Linked DNA regions of Saccharomyces cerevisiae S288C. Changing the gene in region 1 together with any one later gene gives a genetic interaction. Each region holds a gene or a part of one and is shown in the gene's direction. Other genes may lie near its edges.

What was found.
Region 2: mutations in TVP23 (region 1) and RRT13 together harm fitness more than expected from each alone (negative genetic interaction), as found in Saccharomyces cerevisiae (one large-scale study listed by BioGRID).

Annotation. Positions count from the first base shown.
Region 1 is NC_001136.10:612,711-616,856, reverse strand, and holds TVP23 (Tvp23p), read left to right. Parts: upstream 1-2,852; coding exon 2,853-3,452; downstream 3,453-4,146. Other genes in the region: AFR1 (Afr1p), read left to right, coding at 707-2,569; RRP8 (25S rRNA (adenine645-N1)-methyltransferase), read right to left, coding at 3,606-4,146. UniProt on the Saccharomyces cerevisiae protein: Golgi membrane protein involved in vesicular trafficking.
Region 2 is NC_001137.3:277,970-295,443, forward strand, and holds RRT13 (Rrt13p), read left to right. Parts: upstream 1-12,272; coding exon 12,273-12,830; downstream 12,831-17,474. Other genes in the region: FCY22 (purine-cytosine permease), read left to right, coding at 1-195; fatty acid synthase CEM1, read right to left, coding at 329-1,657; glycerol-1-phosphatase GPP2, read right to left, coding at 1,961-2,713; THO1 (Tho1p), read left to right, coding at 3,741-4,397; VHR2 (Vhr2p), read right to left, coding at 4,736-6,253; ICL1 (isocitrate lyase 1), read right to left, coding at 7,272-8,945; RGI1 (Rgi1p), read left to right, coding at 14,097-14,582; CCR4-NOT core ubiquitin-protein ligase subunit MOT2, read left to right, coding at 15,081-16,844; ARG56 (bifunctional acetylglutamate kinase/N-acetyl-gamma-glutamyl-phosphate reductase), read left to right, coding at 17,441-17,474. UniProt on the Saccharomyces cerevisiae protein: May be involved in the modulation of rDNA transcription.

The DNA of each region.
Region 1 (4,146 bases):
TATGTGCATTTTTCCCTTTAAATTATAACCTTTCTATCGGTATAGTGTGTATATGTTCAGCCCTATATAAGAATTTACTCTAAAGAGGTGGAAGGCAAGAGTCTTGATTCTTCCCATATAATATTACTGCATTTTCTGTATTAAACATGTTTTCTATTTGCCGAATAAGCATAAACGTATCATTGTTCCTTTCCCTTTATTTAAGCTCCATACCGATCATGGAAAAGCTCTCCAACGACCTTGAAACGAAAAACCGTTCCTTGGCGATATGACGTTTAGCTCCTTGTCAAATTCTTCCGTGCTACCACGTTGCTACCACTGATATGAAACAAGTACGATCCCTGAACGGAACAGCGCCTAAAAATAGATGGGCACTCACTTTTCCTTTTTCGCTGCCTCTTTTTCCCATGCATTTCCTTTTTGAGTAGTACGTCTTATTTTTGATTATATGCTCGACATACCCCAGGTTTCACAAAGGTTTGGCTTCCTTTTAGCACTTTCTCTCTCACCCTTTCAACAAGTTTATTGGGCCCGACTTACCTTGACGACTTTAATGGGACGCCTGCTAAAAGCTTATTCTACATAAATATATATACCGGCTTCATATAATATAGGAACAAAAGAAAAAGAAAACTGGAAAAAGGGAAGGGGCTATCTCATTATCCAGATAGGCCATATTAGGTGTTACCACAAACTGCTGATAATAATGGAGGGCTCATATCTATCTGCACAAGAAAACCAACCCATACCGGAGCGATTGATACCTAGGTCGAACTCAACTTCGAATTTGTTTGCTTTGTCTAGTACATTCTCTAAACTCAATGTTAGGAATGATGCTGATTACAATTATTCGAACCCGAATAAGAAGAGACACATTTATAGTGGCGAGATAGACTGTAGGTCTGTGACAGCAGCTAGAAAATTTCCAGTAAGGTCCTGTTCAATGACAGCCGCCCAGCAAAGAAAGAGAACTGCGCTATTCACAGTTAGGGAAAGAAACTCTTACCATGAGGGGTTCAATAATGATCAAGATTATGTGAGCCAATACCAGAAGCCACAGTACACTTTCGGAGTATATAAAGAATTAACACCTTATCAACTGCAGCGCTCTAAAATGAAAAGAAGCTTTCAATTTCCCAATGGCGAAATATACAAGCCAAAACTTGATGGAAAATGCACCCACAGCTTGAAAAAGCCTGAATTAAATTCAAGAGACTCTTCTTTATTCAAATTCAGCGAGAAGAAAGGTCGCAATTTATCAAAAGATTTTGTGGGGCCTCATAATGGGACATCAGTCATACATATTCCTCCCAATGATACAGGCTACGGTGTAAATAGCTTGGAGCTGAACACTTCAGTTCCTTCAACAATAAAAAGTTCGGTTTCATCAACCTCTCCGATATCTGCTGTTAATACCCTGACCAGCTTGCCAGAAAGTCAAACTGATGATGATGACGGTTATGAAAATAAAACTGTAACTATATCTTATTGCTTCGAAAATACGGTAAATGAAAAACATGGTAGCCATATAGAAAAATTGGATTTATCAACTAAGGAAAAAACTAAGCCAACAACTAATTCAGGCCTATTTGATAGAAAGAAAAAGACTATTCTGGGCACTGAGAAATATAGATGTATAAAGTCACAATCGAAGTTGAAACTGGGTTCTGTTTTGAAGAAATTATGGCGTACTTCAGGAAACTCGAATACAAAGCATGGAAAAAAGGATACAAAAAGAAGGAGAATTCCTATCGATGATATGGTTACGCATTCTGATGGAAATTCTGAAGCTGAGAATGATATTGAATTAATGGATGCAAATCTGGACGGCATTGAATTTGACGACGACGAAACTCTAATGGATACAGATTCAATTTTTGATGATCTGTTGTCCAAGGAAAATGATAAATACGATTTGAGGCGAAGGCAATTAGAAATACGACAAAAGCTCCACGAGACCTCGCACAACGACGATGGCAAGGTTTCTTTTCGAGATACCGAAAAGCATAATGTCAATGAAGGTTTGATCGACAAGACCATAATCGAAGAATTTTCAAAGCTCGGTGAATATATAATCGACACGAGAAATCAACCACCACCAAGATCGTCCAAGAGGCCTTCATTAGATGACAATGAATCTGCACGATACTTCTACAACATATCGACAGATTTGCGACAGTCTCTGTCAGGTCCAATAAGCTTACCAATGCATGTTGGGAACGACATGGTAAATAGGTTGAGAAATGACTGGGAGTATATCAGATTCGAAGATAGAAGGAATTCGCTGCCAGATTCCTCATTTGATAAAGTCGAAACACCTCCAAAACCAATAAAAAAAGATGTCCGGTTTGCAAAAGAAGTATGTTTAGCAAGCACTTGGTCATCGAATGCATATGAGAGAGCTAATCCGGAATTCATTATGAATCGCCACAGATTGTTGTGGATGATGAAAGTACATCCAAGCATGAATAGTGCCATGAATGAGATCAAACTTGAACTTAACTCTTACAAAAAAAATGAGATGGTTGTCCATGAGAACAGCAAGTGCTTTACACATTATTTAATTTGAGTTATTAACGTAACATAATCCAGTTTATTTTTTGCAATAGAAGGCGTCATACATATTTATATATCAATGTATACATTCCATTCCAGTTACTTCTTTTGCATCTTGCTTCCTGTTTACCTTGACCTCGAACCTATTATTTGTCCGCAATGCGCCTTTGGGTGAAAAGGGATTTCGTTTCCATTTTAACTGTACATAATGTAAATGTAGAAAAGCGTGGTTCTTAAAGGATTTACGGTTCAATACGCTTTTATAAACCTGCTGGTGCTCTAATTACGAATGAAACATGGACCAGGCAAGAAATTTCTACAACACAATTTTAAAATCGTCGCACCCGTTGCTACTATCATTTCATCTGGCAGGTAAGGCAGTTCCCATTGTATTTTATATCATAGGATCAATGTTTTTGAATTTCACACCTCAATTCATCACTGTCGTTCTTTTACTTTCTTTTGACTTTTACTTAACAAAAAACATTACAGGTCGGAAACTGGTCCAATTACGCTGGTGGTATGATTCTACAGATGTGAACAAAGATTCTAATTTTACTTTCGAATCATATAAGCAATATGCGCCGGGCCCACCAATAAATGCCATCGATTCTAAGTTATTCTGGTGGTCGATGTATGTGACACCCGTAATCTGGGGTGTCTTCGCTGTGTTGTGTCTTTTAAGACTGAAAATATTCTACCTGATTTTGGTCATTGTTGCAATGTGTCTGACCGCCTGGAACACGTATGGATTTCGTTGTTGCGATAGATGGGAGCCCAATAGTGGACAATCTGACGGTCAAGATACTAATAATTGGTTCGCTCTTCCTTCTGTTCCGGGCTTTGAAAATCTTTCAAGGCTGGCTAATATCCAATCGTTTTTCCAGAGACAATAAAACCTTGTCCCTCATGTGAACATTGTGGAGTACTTCTTCTAGATGATTTTTACTTTACGCAATGTACTACAGGAAAAGAATACAATTATATGTATAAATATAGTATACAAAAGAAAAAACAATATTAAAATATGAAAATGACGGATGAAGTCGTTATCTTCTTTTATAAATACAGGGCTTCAAGAGCCATTTTCCTTCGGCAATTTTCCGTCTTTTCTTTTCTAATTCTTCCTTCTCAGTTTCAACTTCAATAAACTTTTGTCTTCTTTCCAATTTCTGCCTTCTCTCTTCAATAATCTCCGCAGGTGGCTTGAAAAATTCGAATCTTGTAAACATCTTATTCTCGTCGAAGGTCTTTTTGTGAAAAAATCCCATCAGCTTCAAAGCGTCTACAAATTCATTACCTTTGCCGTCACTAAACCTTGATTTAATTTCTGCGATCCATAATTCACCCCTTGGCGCTAAAATCCTATAAGCTTCTTTTATGAAATCGAGGAAATTTGTACCCATTAGAGCCAGGCAGAAGACCACTATAGTACAGGACTCATCTGGTAGCGGCACATTTCTAATATCTGCCACAGTTATTCTTTCGTTAGCTTTCTTCAAATCAAAACTGTGGACTTTATGGCGTCTTTTCAAATATTTCTTCGCTTTCTTATTGTAATTTTTGAAAAAATTGTTGATTTCTAATGCT
Region 2 (17,474 bases), on another chromosome or scaffold:
ATCGCAGGTACTGCTGCCTTAATTGCTGGTGCCTTTGGAGTAGCGTTGGGTATGTGCCAAACTTATTGGGTTGGTGAGATCAGTCGTTTGATCGGAGAGTACGGCGGTGACATTGGGTTCGAGTTAGGCGGAAGTTGGGCGTTCATCATCTATAACATTGTAAGACCTTTAGAACTCAAATATTTCGGTCGATGACTAAATGTTAATTGATTAATATTTTTGCTAATCATTGAAATGATTGGTTTTAATGGATAAATCTCGACATTCGAATAGATAGCATATAATTCAAAAACGATTATAATGGGATATATATATAAGTTTAATAATATTAACTCCCTTCCCATTTCTTGAAGAGAAGAGATGTGTTAACTCCTCCAAATCCGAAGCTGTTGCATAATGCGTACTTCGGATTAGCTCCCACAATAGGTTTGTCTCTTATGAAATGTAGCTTATCGGCCTCGTTATTTTCTAGAGTCAGAACATTGTCCAGGTTTAAGGTATGCGGCATCTTATCATCCTTCAAGGAACAAATTGTAAATATACTTTCTACGGCGCCAGCTGCACCTAAAAGATGGCCAATTGCACCTTTGTTACTGGATATGTACAGTGGCTTGCTTTTGGATCTTCCTGGTAAGAGTGCTGAGGCTACTGCCAGACACTCTGCTTTATCGCCTAGTAAAGTTGATGTAGCATGTGCATTGACGTAGTCAACATCAGTTGGTTCTAATCTAGCCATTTTTAGAGCCATCTCTATTGCTCTTTTGGCACCATTTCCATCAGCAGGAGGGGAGGTAATATGGCAGGCATCACTGCTTAAACCATAGCCCACGAGCTCAGAAATTATGTTTGCATTTCTCTTTTGAGCATGTTCTAGCGATTCCATGACAATCATTCCGCATCCTTCACCAAGTACGAATCCAGAACGTTGTGTATCAAAGGGTCTAGAGATCCCGTTTGTAGTAATCGACTTTGCTCTGATGAAACCTGCTAAACTTAACGGATGCAAACTCGTTTCACTTGCACCGGCGACACAGATGTCTTGCATGCCTAACCGAATAAAATTGAATGCATCGCCAATGGAGTTATTACCTGTTGCGCATGCTGTGGAAACACTATGGGATAATCCTCTAAGGTTAAACTTGATGGAAACATTACCAGCTGCCATATTTGTAAGGATTTTAGGGACGAAATATGGATTTATTCTTTTATTGTCGTTATGGAATTGTAGAGAAGTTTGGTATATGTCTTGAATGGATCCTATACCAGAACCTATCAGGCAACCAAAGTGATCCAGATTGCACAGAGATGTATTGATGGTTATATCATTTGGGTTCAAGAGACCAGCATTGTGAAGCGCTTCATAAGTTGTACGTAGTGCTAGCTTGATAAAGCTTGAGGTTCTTCTCTCATCCTGGCTAGTGAACAGCAGTTTATTGATGGCTGAATTTTCGTTTTGAAAATTCTCTGGAATCTTCCCCACTGTTATCGTTGATGGGATACTTTTTTCTCTGAGTTTGTAGTCCTCATTATAGTTGGGCAAAGATGTGATTGGTGTGAGTCCATTTTTGGAAGAGAGCAGATTCCCCCATGACTCACTTAATGATCTTCCCAACGGCGTTACACAGCCCAATCCTGTGATAACCACTCTTCTTGACATTTCTTTACTAGAAATTAAATTTTAATCCGTTGTGGCTCCTGTCACTTTCAAGTTGCTAATAACCTGATAACGTTTAAGGATTTTACTTCCTTTTTTATCATTTATTTTTCTGAGATGAGACAGAGTCAGAAATAATAGCACACTATATGTTTTAAAAAAAAAAATCTATCTACGTATTTATTTAATCAATAAGATGTGATTTTATAAATGTGTCGTTTTTTAGCATCATTACTTGTTTTGTGGCGAATATAGAATAGGACTGTATCTGAGAATTATTACTCAAATATGTTCGATTTTAGAGGATTACCATTTCAACAGATCGTCCTTAGCATATAAGTAGTCGTCAAAAATGAATTCAACTTCGTCTGTTTCGGCATTGTAGCCGCCAACTCTGATGGATTCGTGGTTTTTGACAATGATGTCACAGCCTTTTTCCTTTAGGAAGTCCAAGTCGAAAGTAGTGGCAATACCAATGATCTTACAACCGGCGGCTTTTCCGGCGGCAATACCTGCTGGAGCGTCTTCAAATACTACTACCTTAGATTTGGAAGGGTCTTGCTCATTGATCGGATATCCTAAGCCATTCCTGCCCTTCAGATATGGTTCTGGATGAGGCTTACCCTGTTTGACATCATTAGCGGTAATGAAGTACTTTGGTCTCCTGATTCCCAGATGCTCGAACCATTTTTGTGCCATATCACGGGTACCGGAAGTTGCCACAGCCCATTTCTCTTTTGGTAGAGCGTTCAAAGCGTTGCACAGCTTAACTGCACCTGGGACTTCAATGGATTTTTCACCGTACTTGACCGGAATTTCAGCTTCTAATTTGTTAACATACTCTTCATTGGCAAAGTCTGGAGCGAACTTAGCAATGGCATCAAACGTTCTCCAACCATGCGAGACTTGGATAACGTGTTCAGCATCGAAATAAGGTTTGTCCTTACCGAAATCCCTCCAGAATGCAGCAATGGCTGGTTGAGAGATGATAATGGTACCGTCGACGTCGAACAAAGCGGCGTTAACTTTCAAAGATAGAGGTTTAGTAGTCAATCCCATTCCGAATATTGTTTTTATTGTTTTATGTTTTTCCACTGATCTGGTAAACACTAGCTGGTTGGCGCTATTAATATGAAAAGAGTTAGACCAAATTGAGTAGAAAAGAAACCTTTGGCAATCCTAACTATGTTGTTTTAGCTTGTGTATTTAAGCGCATATATATATATTTCTGAAAATGACAACATCAAAAGAAACGAACTTATTTAGAATAAAAAGAAACGACTTGGCTTCTTATTATTCCTACTTTACGTCACGTGGGAGGCCCGTTTAGGGGGGCAGCTATGTAGTTTTTCCGAGCGTACTTTCTTTCAGCATCCGAAAAGTCCTCACTTGACGGCTTACACGGAAACGCCGCGGATTGTGGGGCACAGATGATGACGCAGACGGAACACTGCAGAAATCTTTTTACCTTGTCGTTAAAGACGATATTAGAGAGAAGAGTTTGGCTGGGGACAAAGTGCCAGCTTTTCGTTCAGGGCGAGGTGCCAAAATACTTGAGAAGGCCAAACCCCAAAGGACAGGGCCAAATACGTACGCTACGGTAATATCTAATGGGAGAGGGTATAACATTGACCATTTTCGAAGGAGGCATAGGAATTTAGACGCTGATGGATGTTATCAATATTGAAGTTTTTCACCGTTTCCCTCTTTCTCTGCTCCTTTAAAGAACGCAAAGTCTCCTCTTGAGAGAAAGCAGACGATTGGAATTGGTATCTTTCACGTAGCATTGCTTAACCTACGGCCATATTAATGATATGAAGTCATATGAAAATGGCCGAGGCCAGCGGTTCATTCGAGGATATATATTTTATTACCCGGCGTCTCTAGCCGAAGTAAGAAAACACAATGCAACCAGCGTTGGTGGAAGGGCGTGATAATGCTGAATGGGAGAAGAAAGTTGAATAGTGACTCTTCAAATGTGTCCTTTCAGGATGCGCTACTTTCAGAAGTTACAAAGATATCTGTATATTGAATAGAATTTTTTTCACCACTAGAATTGTTCTTGGAGCCAGCACAAGCACTTACAATGGCAGATTATTCTTCCCTTACTGTTGTTCAATTGAAAGATTTACTGACCAAGAGAAATCTGTCTGTAGGCGGATTGAAGAATGAACTAGTTCAAAGACTGATAAAGGACGATGAAGAATCAAAGGGTGAAAGTGAAGTTTCTCCACAGGAACAAAACCAGGAACAAGGGTCAGAACCTGCGGCGATAGAAGAACCAGCCTCCCAGAACATTACTGAAAAAAAGGAAGTTTCAAGCGAGCCTAAAGAAACAAACGAACCCAAGGAGGAAAATAAGGACGTTCAAAAGCCCTCTGATGGACCTTCTGCTACTGCTTCAGAGAACGAACAAGCTGCTGCTTCCACTGCTGCTCCCGCTTTGTCACCAGAAGAAATTAAGGCCAAAGCATTGGATCTTTTAAATAAGAAACTGCACCGCGCTAACAAATTCGGTCAAGATCAAGCGGATATTGACTCTTTACAAAGACAGATAAATCGTGTGGAGAAGTTTGGTGTTGACTTGAATAGCAAGTTGGCTGAAGAACTGGGCCTTGTCAGTAGGAAAAATGAACCTGAAAGTGGCAATAACGGTAAATTTAAAAATAGAAACAAAAATGCAAACAACCGCTCCAGAGTAAGTAAAAACAGGAGAGGCAACCGCTCTGGTTACAGAAGATAAAGGCTCAAGCCGTTTTGGTGGAGTTTTTCATTCTAGTTTCGGTTCTTTCCCACTTTTTAAACGACCGCAGTTGTTTGTATATGAAGGTGCAAAATTTGTTGCATACGTAAACATGTGTAGATTATTCTAAATAAATCTGTGTTATTAAATCCGAAGAGTCGGCGGTTCACTGTATTACACATACAGTGGCTGTCAACGTTGTAAAGTGCTAGTAGAGAATGAGCGGCGAGATTTACAGACTGAACATTCTTGTACAAGTTACAATGATGATAGAGGAAAAATAAGCTATGATAAATAGTTCATAGTAATGCAGGTGGGGATGATGCAAGCGGGCCTATTTATTTTGAAATAGTACTGAATGGTTTGGAAAAGGTGGAATTTTCAATCTGCAACGATATCGCGCTCAACATCTTTAACCTGTCATCATCGTACGTATTTGGGACTTCAATTGAAGGCAATGTAATGATAGTGCTATCTGCCGATGTGCTTGACCTCGTCACTCGAGGCTCTTCTTTACCGGGAGTGCTTGCATCTTTCGTTGAAGAATGTGCACTCAAGACCTCAGATGTGGAGTGTGGCCTCATTGGATTGGACTGTTTATTACTACAAACCAAGGGATATTGATGGAGTGTCATGTGATAGATAATTTCGTTGATTGGTGCCAAAGATGCATCAAACCCATAATCTTTGACAAGAGATCCCAGTATGAGATTCAGCACTCTCACCTGAATTTTTTCTTGTGATAGGTCAGCGAATAGTTGACGTGTAGCGGGCATAAATAGCCTTTGCGATAGAATAGTCAAAAATTCGATTGATGACAGCCGTTCAGTAAGATATTGCTTAGTAGAAGACGGTAAATGTGAAAAGCTGTTTTCTACCACAAGGGAAATGGAAGCCATTAGTGAATTTTTGCCCAGCGTTTCTAGATTAGCAAAAGAATCCAAATTTCTTTCATCCTTAGACATCTCCAAGCACGTCCTTGAGTTATGTATCTTTGACAGGATGAGTTTTCTCAAGTTGTTGGATATTACAACTTTGCTTTGGCACCCTTTTTTTTTCGTTAAATTTGGTCTAATGAACTTATCTCTTTGAATTTGTTCAGGTAGTGGAATAGCATTATTTACAATTTCAACAATTATTGATTTGGCAATAAAGTCGTATTCTTGTTCACTTTCTAGAGGCTGATCTTCTATATCAAACTTTTGTAATTTTTCATCGCCGCCGTGCGCATACGGTGCCGATGGATCACGAAGAAGAGATGCGTTCTTCTTAAGTAAAGAGCGAACTTGAGTTGGTACAGGTGGAAGAGTGCGGCCATTCGGATAAGGTAACAATTTTTGTGATGTTATAGTATTAAGAGAAGGAAGAGCGTGCTCAGCAGGTTCTTCCTTCACGCTGGCTTCTTCGTCAGAGCTTGATGCATTGGAAGCTGAACAAGACCCCATATTACTTGAGCTGGGGGGAGACAAAGGAATTTTTTGAACTTTACCACGGGCTATTTTCTTCTTAGAGTCTAATAATTTTTTCTTGGAACGTTTCCTGTTTCTTCTCACCGATTGAACAGCAGCGGTAACCAACTTTTCAAATTCTGCCGAAAACGTATCAGGGTACTCAAATTCACTCCTTAATATGGTGGCTATTTGTCTTATATTATCATCTTGTTCACTTGCTTTGTGCTGGCTCAAGCCAAATGAGTCAATGAGTTCTAGTCTTCTGCTAGAAAACTTCTTCCATTTCTTTTCATCATTAAAGTTTAACTGAGCTCTGATTTTATGTGTAGTACCATAGCCCGTATACTTTCCTGTTTTATGGCTACCTTCCAAATGAATTTTGGAGTTCTCAGTATCGTCAATCATCTTGCAATTTTTACTCTGACTGTTGCTGTTTTTTTTGCTGAGATATTTTCCGGTTAAGATGTTTGAATATGCTAAAGGTAATATACAGCTAGAGAAATATGAAAAGCAAGAATATAAAAATAGAACAGGAGCACTTAGTTCGGTTTTTTGCCATCATGTTTAATATATATATATATATATATATATATATATATATATGTGCGTGCGTGTGTGTGTGTGTGTGTGTGTACATGTATGCGGCAGCTAAAAGATGACGAGTACCTTCTAACGGCCATGTTATTTTCTACAGAAAGCATCTCACTTTGAGCGCCCAGAAAAAAGAAAAGGGAGAACAAAGTGATTAATTTTGCCTCTCGATTACATTATGAGGTGGCACTATTTGTCACATTTTATGTTTTTCATCCCGCACTTGGCTTTCATGAGAAAAGCATGTAGGACGCTTGAGTTTGGCATGCGAGAGAAGAGGCGTGTCAGAAAAAAAAACGCCTTTTGCTCTTGAGAAGAGCGGCAAAAATTGCCGAACAGGTGGAATTTCTCGACCAAAGGTGGGGTAAATATCGGTTACCCGTTTGCGAGTTCCTTTACAGTCTCAATGATTTCCAAGATGACTAAGGGAATATTTTCCATGGTGCCTTTTGCCTCGCGTACACTCACGGCACTAATGGGCGATACGATACTATGATTGTGTTCGGGATTAGTTCGATTCAATCATTCGCGCACGAGGCATGGACAGAAATGGCACTGATTTTAGTCACCGAGTCAACAAAAATGAGGCGACTCGATCAAAGATGTTTATTGACTCGTTTTTGCAACTAGAGAAAGGCATTCTTGCACGGAGAGAATGTTGACTTTAGTTGGAGTACCATTAGAGAGATGCCATTAGAGAACATTGTACTGCAGTAACGATGAGTTTAAGTTTTTAAGTACGCATGTTTATATATGAAAAAAATATACATTGAGATTACGAATATATATACTTGTCAGGAAATGCCGGCAGTTCTAATGGTTAATCCTTGTCCTATTTCTTTACGCCATTTTCTTTGAATTGATCTTCTGTGACACCGGTTCCCATAGCAGCTGTTGCGCTAACACCACCTTGAGCTAACTTCAATAACCCATCGATGTACTCCGCACCAGACCATTTTTGATGTTTCAACACATCAACACCATCGTCCATTTCCCTCTGCTGAACATTCTGGGCATAAGCTTTCATCCCATCCTTGGCAAAGTCACGAGAGAAGTTATGGACAGCTAAAGCGTTAGTGTGTAAACCGGCCAATGTGATAAATTGCCAGATGTAACCTAGATCACCCAGCCTTTGGATGAAGGTGTGTTGTTCATCAACGGACATGGCTTTTGGCCAGTTAAAGGATGGAGACAAGTTGTAAGCTAGCCATTGGTCAGGGAATTTCTCTTTAACACCTTCTGCAAACTCCTTGGCCTGTTGGAAGTCTGGGTAGTTAGATTCCATCCATACCAAATCAGCATATGGAGCAAATGCACGGGCCCTCATGATAGAACATTGCGTCCCACCTCTGTAACGGTACAACCCTTCCCTTACGCGTGGTAGCTCCCAGTCGAAGAAAATTTCGTGGCCAAGAATTTCTTTAGCGAGCTTCTTGGCTTCTCTGTGGGATGTTTCAGTCAATGGACCCACTTTAGAGGTGAATTTCTTAATCAATTCTTGCTTATTTGACAGGGCTGATCTTTCAATTTCATCAATGACGGCTTCATGGAATAACTTGAGTCCAGCGTCTCTACACCATTTTTGTTCAATGTCAGCTAGTTCTTGTCCTGATGCACCACTCATGATGGCATCATTTAAAACTTCGGCAAATGGCTCGATATTTGGATTGGTGGCACCGACAATGAAATAATGATCTCTGGTATCGATGGTTGAGCTAATCAAAGTGGCTGCTTCTGAATCAGTCCTAGCAACGACAATTAAGTCAGAATGCATGATATCAGCACACATTCTAATAGTCACCAATCTGTTAACATGTTCCTGAACGGGTATAACACATCTTCCTGCCATATGCCCACATTTCTTATTTGTAGATGTCTGGTCTTCCATGTGGATCCCAGCAGCACCACGCTCAATGAACATCTTGGTCAATTTGAAGACTGCGGTTAAACCGCCGTGGCCTGCGTCTGCATCAGCGACAATTGGTGTTAGGTAGTCAATTGGGGCACCCATCTCATCGAGTTCTTCCTGAGATTTAGCCTTTGACCGTGCCTCTAGTTGTTTTCTGTCGTGAAACAATTGGGCCTTGAACAAATGTTCCACTTTGTTTGGAACGGTGTCCATTGGATAATCAGCTAAGTCTGGACCAGGTTCATTTGAGGTGGAAGCAGTTGATGAACACTGCCAACCAGAAATATAGATTGTGTCTAAGTATTTTGCCATTTGAGAAATCTGGACAGGATCTAGGGCACCGAAAGTTTTAGAGACTGTACCCTCATTGTGATGCTTCTCTAATACCTTGAATAATTTTCTGGCCATGACCGAAGATGGGTATTCGATTGGTGGGAATGTCCCGCGTCTAACAGCAATATCTCTGGCTGAATAATTTCTCTTAGTCTTACTCCAACGTGAGTCAGACCACCATTTCTCAATTTCGGCAGCATCTGCATCTAGTTTTGCTTGTAAAGCTGCAAAATCGTTCTTCGTATTTCCAACGGGGATAGGCATTTTTCGTTGACTTTTTGTTATGTTATGCTAAGAGTTTTCTCTCAATTGTTAGGTATTTGGGTGTGAAAAGAAAAAAAGGATAAGATGAAATTAGCAAGCCAAGACAAATAATAAGAATTTTGCCAGTGAAGCAGCTCCTTTATATAATAAAGAAACGTTTTGTGAATTCCGATGTGCCTGGTTAAGGGCGGACTTTGGACTGACTTATGCTTTTCTCTTTTGCACCAATATTGAGTCACATACTGGGATGCTAGTCCGGACTATGGATATTTTCTTCTGTAAAGGGTAGTGAAAGATGACGTTGAGTGTTAATTTTGTGGTGATTGGCTTCAGTTTTGATTGTTTCGGATGAAATGAAAAAGTGACGAAGTCAGATAAGTGATCGCTCGGATGAATGGAAACCTGGGGCAAAAGGGAACAGTTTTTCTCATCGGATGACGAGTAGCAAAACCCGACCGCCCAAAGCATCCGGGTTACGAGATATTTACTTTTCAATAAATAGATTCAATTATTATTATTTTCTCGAGACATATTACTGACACAAGAAATTTCCTATGGGAGCTTGATTTAGTTTTTCCTTCTAACATTGTCATTTTAACTGTGTTGCCTTCCCTTGCTCGCAACTATGCTACGCTATATTGTACTCTTGAATTTTATTTATGTTTTGTTCCCAGCGGGCATCTTTCAATAAAATGAACTCAAGAAGAAGTAAATAATAACAAGCTATAATGGGTGGCCATTTGTGATCAAATTTGGAGTGAAACACGTATGATTATGTTTGAACTCTCTTTCTTTGATACGAAACCTCAAGCGACGTAGGTGATGGATATATTCACAAGATAACAAAGGCCGTGTTACAACATTAGATATGTAAACAACGTGCTAGAAGTTCTCCTCGAAGATCTCGAAATCTACAAAAGGGAATCGATATTTTATACATAATCCTATTATTATTTTTTCTTCCATTTTATATGCTCACTCATTATCCTTTACATTTCCAAAATCATGCATTTCAGCTTCCATTAAATTTTGATGGCTGTCTCTTAATTTTGTTATCTTTCTTTATGTCATCCTCTTACAGAGTATATGGTAATATACTAGTAATATGATTAATAGTCGATAAGTGAGTGTGAATTTTTATTCCGAAAAATATATGACGATGATCACACTATATTTTCTAGAAATAACTTAAACCATAGTGAATAAGAATCTGTAGTGCTCCTTGAGAACTAATGAAATTGCGCTAAAAACAAACCTAGTTAACATAATGTTTAGGCCAGGAAGAATCTAAATACAAACCTTATCAGTCCCAGCGTACGCGTCATTTACATTTGCGTATTGAAAATGAAAAAAAAATAATTCATTTGAAGCACTACTATTACAAAATTTATTCCAGCCCAACATTCAGTTTGGAAGCATCAAACGGCCTTCGACCATATGAAGATATTCCAGTAAATATGGTCTCCAAGCAGTTCAACTACTTTTCATGAATGTAGCATTTTCAAGGCACCTCTAACAATAAAAAAAACGACACCAGCAGGATTTGAACCAGCGCGGGCAGAGCCCAACAGATTTCAAGTCTGTCGCCTTAACCACTCGGCCATAGTGCCTATCATTATGAATTTCCCAAAAAAGAACCACTATCAGAGACATATAAAAATAAGAACACATCCACCGATATCTGTTACAATGAAACCCTAAAATATCATCCATTTGGGGTAGTATTCATGCTACCAGTATATCCTGTATGCGTAATATTATAGCCTTTTCCAACAGTGCACCCAAATATAATCACAAATCACCCAATTCTCAAATTCACTTGTTAAAATGAAAATACCAAAGCCTCATCATACCGTTCTATTGTCCATCTCCAACACAAAAGTACCATAATAATTTTCCGATTCGACACGAATACAGATAGATGGGCACATGGCAAACTTAGCTCAGTATGGGCTTGTAGGTTGTAAACGAGTCAGAAATTTCAACAATAAAAAATACATCAGATAGTGTTTCGATGTTCTTAATTACACGTGAATTATCAAAAACCATCAACATACCAGCCAACATCAGTGTAGGTGGAATAAAACTTTCTTACCATGTACAGTAAATGGACCATGACGCCGTGCACAAGCTTATGCATAATGAGCTAAGCGGGAAGACATTTTCAAACTACGTGATAGTTCCGACTGCCCTTTCAATTGCTAATGTAGCAATATGTTAGGAATGCAATATTCCAAAATGCTGTCTGTGTCAGTGAGAATAACAAAAACATTGAATAAACTTTTCTATGGTAATAACCACGCCAGATAAGGGCGTTGCCATCGTTTTCATTTTTTTTTTTTTTTCAAATGGTGGGGTCACCGTTGTGAAAAGAAACCTTTGATTCTCAACCATATCGGTACTCGGACTAATCACTTAAATCTTTCCAAGGGATTATCGAGAATGTCATAGTGCAAAATAATCTTAGCTTTCAATAATTTTTTCATTTGGAGTCACACTCCCGTTAAAACCTAGTCAACGGCTTCCACTTAAAGCTATCAACAAGGGGCAATTGATTTTGCATTTTCGTCTAAATGAAAGTTGCAGCCAGCAATTTACCCGAAGTTTAAATAAATCAATGCAAACCATGTTCAACTTAAACAGCAATCGCTTTCTATTACCTTGGAATTATATCAGAACGTCTATCTGCGAAGCTTTAATAAAGTACTGGAAGTTGTGTCTGAAATGTCTGTTTTGGTAAATTTGTTTGATCCTGATTATACACCTCAAAGGACCACGTTAAGTGGCCATATGACGAGTGTTATTGCGTGCTTGCAAGTTGAAGATAATTATGTCATTACAGGAGGATGTGATAAAACGATCAGAGTTTATAACTTAGTAAATAAAAGATTTCTTTTACAACTATCAGGTCATGATGGTGAGGTTTGGGCATTGAAGTATGCCCATGGCGGTATTTTAGTCAGCGGTTCTACAGGCAGAACGGTGCGAGTTTGAGATATTAAGAAAGGTTGTTGTACCCATGTGTTTAAAGGTCATAACTCTACGGTGAGGTGCCTAGATATAGTAGAATATAAAAATATCAAGTACATTGTTACTGGTTCGAGAGATAACACTTTGCACGTTTGGAAATTGCCCAAGGAGTCCTCCGTTCCTGATCATGGGGAAGAACATGATTATCCATTAGTCTTTCATACCCCTGAGGAGAACCCATATTTTGTTGGTGTTTTAAGAGGACATACGGCGACTGTAAGAACTGTCTCAGGCCACGGTAATATTGCCATTAGTGGCTCCTATGATAATACATTGATTGTGTGGGATGTTGCGCAAATGAAATGTCTATATATCTTGAGTGGACATACGGATCGTATTTATTCGACAATCTACGATCATGAAAGAAAAAGGTGCATCTCTGCCAGTATGGATACCACTATTAGAATTTGGGATTTGGAAAATATAAGGAATAATGGAGAATGTTCCTACGCAACAAATTCAGCATCGCCATGCGCCAAAATACTTGGTGCTATGTACACTTTGCGGGGTCACAGAGCCCTAGTCGGTTTATTGGGATTATCCGATAAATTTTTAGTCAGTGCTTCTGTAGACGGTTCAATAAGGTGTTGGGACGCTAACACTTACTTTCTGAAGCACTTTTTCGATCACACGCAGTTGAATACAATCACCGCATTGCACGTTTCTGATGAGGTATTAGTGAGTGGATCTGAAGGTTTGCTCAATATTTATGATTTAAATAGTGGGCTGTTAGTCCGTTCAGATACATTGAGTGGTGCTGATAATGTTTGGAACGTTAGTTTTAAGGACAACACACTTGTGGCAGCGGTAGAACGAGACAAGCGAAATCTTTTAGAAATTTTGGACTTTAGTTGAAGATTGATGTGAGAATGATGCAGAACTTACCTTGTCACGTTTGGAACTCAGTTGTACTTTTTCGGTGTAAACAAATATAAAACTTTAGAATTTACATTAATAAGTTATGTGCTATTTATTAGTTTAATATATCAACATTAATTACATGCGAGCTATGTATTATTAGCTCAATCAGCAGGACTAAAATCGAGGAAAAAGTAATTTTGTTTATGCCCAGTTCAGTTATCGTCCATTTGTAGCAAATGTGGTACAAGTTGACCCATATTTTCATGCATTGGGCCATGCAGTAATTATCACACTCACTTTGTCATAATGTATACAATGGCCGCTTATTTGCGACTCGTCTCATATTTTTCCTGAAACTGTAGCTGTGTGTAATATTATTCATTAACTTCGATAATTCGGCTACAGAAGACAAGAGCTACATCCTTACTGGTGCGAATAAATGACATAATCTGTCAAGAGTACCGAAGTAAAAGCAACGATTGCCGAACACATCTTCCTGAAGTATCATATGCCAATACAAGGTTTCAATAGGAATTATGAAAGCGGCATTATCACCCTTAATCTGAAATATGTAATGATGACGGTGCAGTATGTTGACTACATTGTAAAGTTGCACTTTCACTCAACTCATGAAATTGATGACATTAATCCTACGTGACTTACACATATGCCATGAACGAAGAAGGTGGCACCAAAAATCCAGCGTTTCCGATATACACGCAGTCAAATGTTCAGACTAAACTTTGGTATTCTGACAACGTGTTGTCATACCTGTTACGAGCCAGAAACGTATTTCTTTTTGGGTGATACAATCTCCAGATGACTGCTTTTTTTTTTTTTACCCCAGATTCAGGGGCCGAAGGAACGGAAATGCGGTGTGGCGAGATTGCGGATGTGCTAAAAAATAATATCCTCGAGGCAACCAGCATAATGTGGACGGCTCTCGGCAATTGACTTCCATAACAAATGCATCCTGTAATCAGGGGTATTATAAGTTACTGTATGGTTAATTAAATATAGAATGAAAGGGGCAGCGTTCTTAAGGGGTATTGCTGGGTGGAAAAATACAAGTGTCTTTACTTGATTGTGTGCACATATATAAGGCAAAAGATTTCTAGCGTATATTTGAATCTTTTGTTCTTCCACGTTCAAATTTCTTTGGTCAAAACATTTCATAAAGGGACAAGTTCTGCATTGTATTCTAATAATTGCCCATAGAACATATAAATTAGGTATCGACTGTTTTCGTCTCCACTTTAAATGACAAAGAAGGATAAGAAGGAAGTAAAAGTTCAAACGGTTACCACGGAGGATGGTGAAACCGTGAAAGTTTTTGAAGACCTGCAGGGTTTTGAAACTTTCATTGCCAATGAAACTGAAGATGATGATTTCGATCATTTGCACTGTAAATTAAATTACTACCCACCATTTGTGCTACACGAGTCGCACGAGGACCCTGAAAAAATTAGTGATGCTGCAAATTCTCATTCTAAGAAGTTCGTGCGTCACCTGCACCAGCATATTGAAAAGCATCTTTTGAAAGATATTAAGCAAGCCGTTAGGAAACCTGAGCTTAAATTTCACGAAAAATCGAAGGAAGAGACATTTGATAAAATCACCTGGCATTACGGTGAGGAAACTGAATACCATGGTAGACCTTTCAAGATAGACGTTCAAGTAGTTTGCACACATGAAGATGCTATGGTATTTGTCGATTACAAAACACATCCTGTAGGCGCAAATTAAAGGTTGTGTCATAGAGAATGTGTTAGTACTGAATCCTAACCTCCCAAATTCATAAGTAGTTTTATGTACCTTTAATGATTTACGATTAGCAACTTTTTGAATTTTTTTTATTGAAATGTTGAGCCCGAAGACGTGAAACGCTATAAAGTAGTATCACTGTTACGCCGCGAAACCTGATAATGTATTGTTAAACTACTACCTGGTCGATGATTATATCGACGCTTCTAAAATGAATGCTATTACCCGAACTTCCACTTGATTGCCGTCTCTTCCCGGGTAACATTGTAAGTGTGAATATGATTTTTTTTTTTGCTTTCTCTTTTCAAAATTTCCGAAAAGCATATCAAGACGTGTACTACATACAGTAAAAGCCCTCCTAGGGTTTTCAGTAGTGGTTCGAATAGTATAGATTACTGCTTTTGTTACTCTGCAACAATCCCAAAACTTAATAAAAAGTACAAAAGACCAAATAAAAGTATCGTATATAATCCAGTCATAATGATGAATCCACACGTTCAAGAAAATTTGCAAGCAATCCACAACGCCTTAAGCAATTTTGATACGTCATTTTTATCGGAGGATGAAGAAGATTATTGCCCTCTTTGTATTGAACCAATGGATATTACTGATAAAAATTTTTTTCCTTGTCCCTGTGGTTATCAAATTTGTCAATTTTGCTACAATAATATCAGACAAAATCCAGAATTAAATGGCCGTTGCCCAGCATGTCGTCGTAAATATGATGACGAGAACGTCAGATACGTCACATTATCTCCGGAGGAGTTAAAAATGGAGAGAGCCAAGCTCGCTAGGAAGGAGAAAGAAAGAAAGCATAGAGAAAAAGAACGTAAAGAGAATGAATATACGAATAGGAAACATTTATCTGGTACCAGAGTTATCCAAAAGAATTTAGTGTACGTTGTTGGCATCAATCCTCCTGTTCCATACGAGGAAGTTGCGCCCACTCTGAAATCTGAAAAATATTTTGGCCAATATGGTAAGATAAATAAGATTGTGGTTAATAGAAAAACACCCCATTCTAACAACACAACCAGCGAGCATTATCACCATCATTCACCAGGATATGGCGTTTACATAACCTTCGGATCCAAGGACGATGCTGCAAGATGTATAGCTCAGGTAGACGGGACGTATATGGATGGCCGCCTGATCAAAGCTGCCTACGGTACTACTAAATACTGTTCTTCTTATTTAAGAGGATTGCCATGCCCAAATCCCAACTGTATGTTTTTGCATGAACCTGGTGAAGAAGCTGATTCTTTTAATAAAAGAGAACTCCACAATAAACAACAAGCGCAACAGCAAAGTGGCGGAACTGCATTCACTAGATCTGGAATACACAACAATATATCTACCAGTACCGCTGGTTCAAATACCAATTTACTAAGTGAAAATTTCACAGGCACACCTTCACCGGCGGCGATGAGGGCTCAGTTACATCATGACAGCCATACAAACGCTGGAACACCGGTATTAACACCTGCTCCGGTCCCTGCAGGGTCAAATCCTTGGGGAGTTACTCAATCAGCAACACCTGTAACCTCTATCAATCTCTCTAAAAACAGCAGCTCCATAAACTTGCCAACATTAAATGATTCTCTGGGCCATCATACTACCCCCACAACAGAGAATACCATCACAAGTACGACAACTACTACCAATACCAATGCTACAAGTCACTCCCATGGTAGCAAGAAGAAGCAATCTCTTGCTGCAGAGGAATACAAAGATCCTTATGACGCACTAGGGAATGCTGTTGACTTTTTGGATGCAAGACTACATTCTCTATCAAATTATCAGAAGCGCCCTATATCTATCAAATCCAATATTATTGACGAAGAAACTTATAAAAAGTATCCGTCTTTGTTTTCTTGGGACAAGATTGAGGCCTCAAAGAAAAGTGACAATACATTAGCCAACAAACTTGTGGAGATCCTGGCTATAAAGCCAATAGACTACACTGCTTCTGTCGTTCAATTCTTGCAGAGTGTCAATGTTGGTGTAAATGACAATATTACAATCACAGATAATACGAAAACTCCCACCCAACCAATAAGACTGCAAACCGTCTCACAGCAAATCCAACCACCATTAAACGTCAGTACCCCTCCACCGGGTATCTTTGGTCCACAACATAAGGTTCCTATTCAGCAGCAACAAATGGGTGATACAAGCTCAAGAAATTCCTCTGATTTACTAAATCAACTAATCAACGGAAGGAAAATTATCGCCGGTAATTAATCCGACTCTAAATATTTTTCTTGTTTGCATTAACCATAATTTTATCTATTTTTATTTCTCATGAATATATAATCTCTCCGTTTATAACGAAATGCAAGAAAAAAAAATCTCACCCATTTTTTTAAACCTTTGACGTGGAAAGGTATCTGGGAAAGGTATCTGGCTAATGAATAATGCCATAGCATATACCAGTATAGTCTATTTACTCGTTACAACGTATGAAAGCGTCAGCGCTGCAAGAATGACTAATTCATAGAAAATAATCATCATGATATATATCATAATGCACGGAACCTGCTTCGCTAATTTTTTCACTTAAATCACATTTTTTCAACGAAATCTCTTGCGCAGTTGGTTGGAATTCTTATCCGAATGACTCAGTCTACATCAAAAAACTGTGGCCGAATGGTGGTAATTGATGACTCTTCTATTTTTTTTTTTCATATAAAGAGCTTGCGCGCGTGTTGTTGTTCGCTATCCATTTCCATTAGGAACATTTTTGGATATTATTTTTCAGACCCGTAATATACTTAACACATATACCACTAAAGGCAAAAGAAAGAGAGATCTGAAGTGAGAAATAAGTCTGCATCATTATGCCATCTGCTAGCTTACTCGTCTCGACAAAGA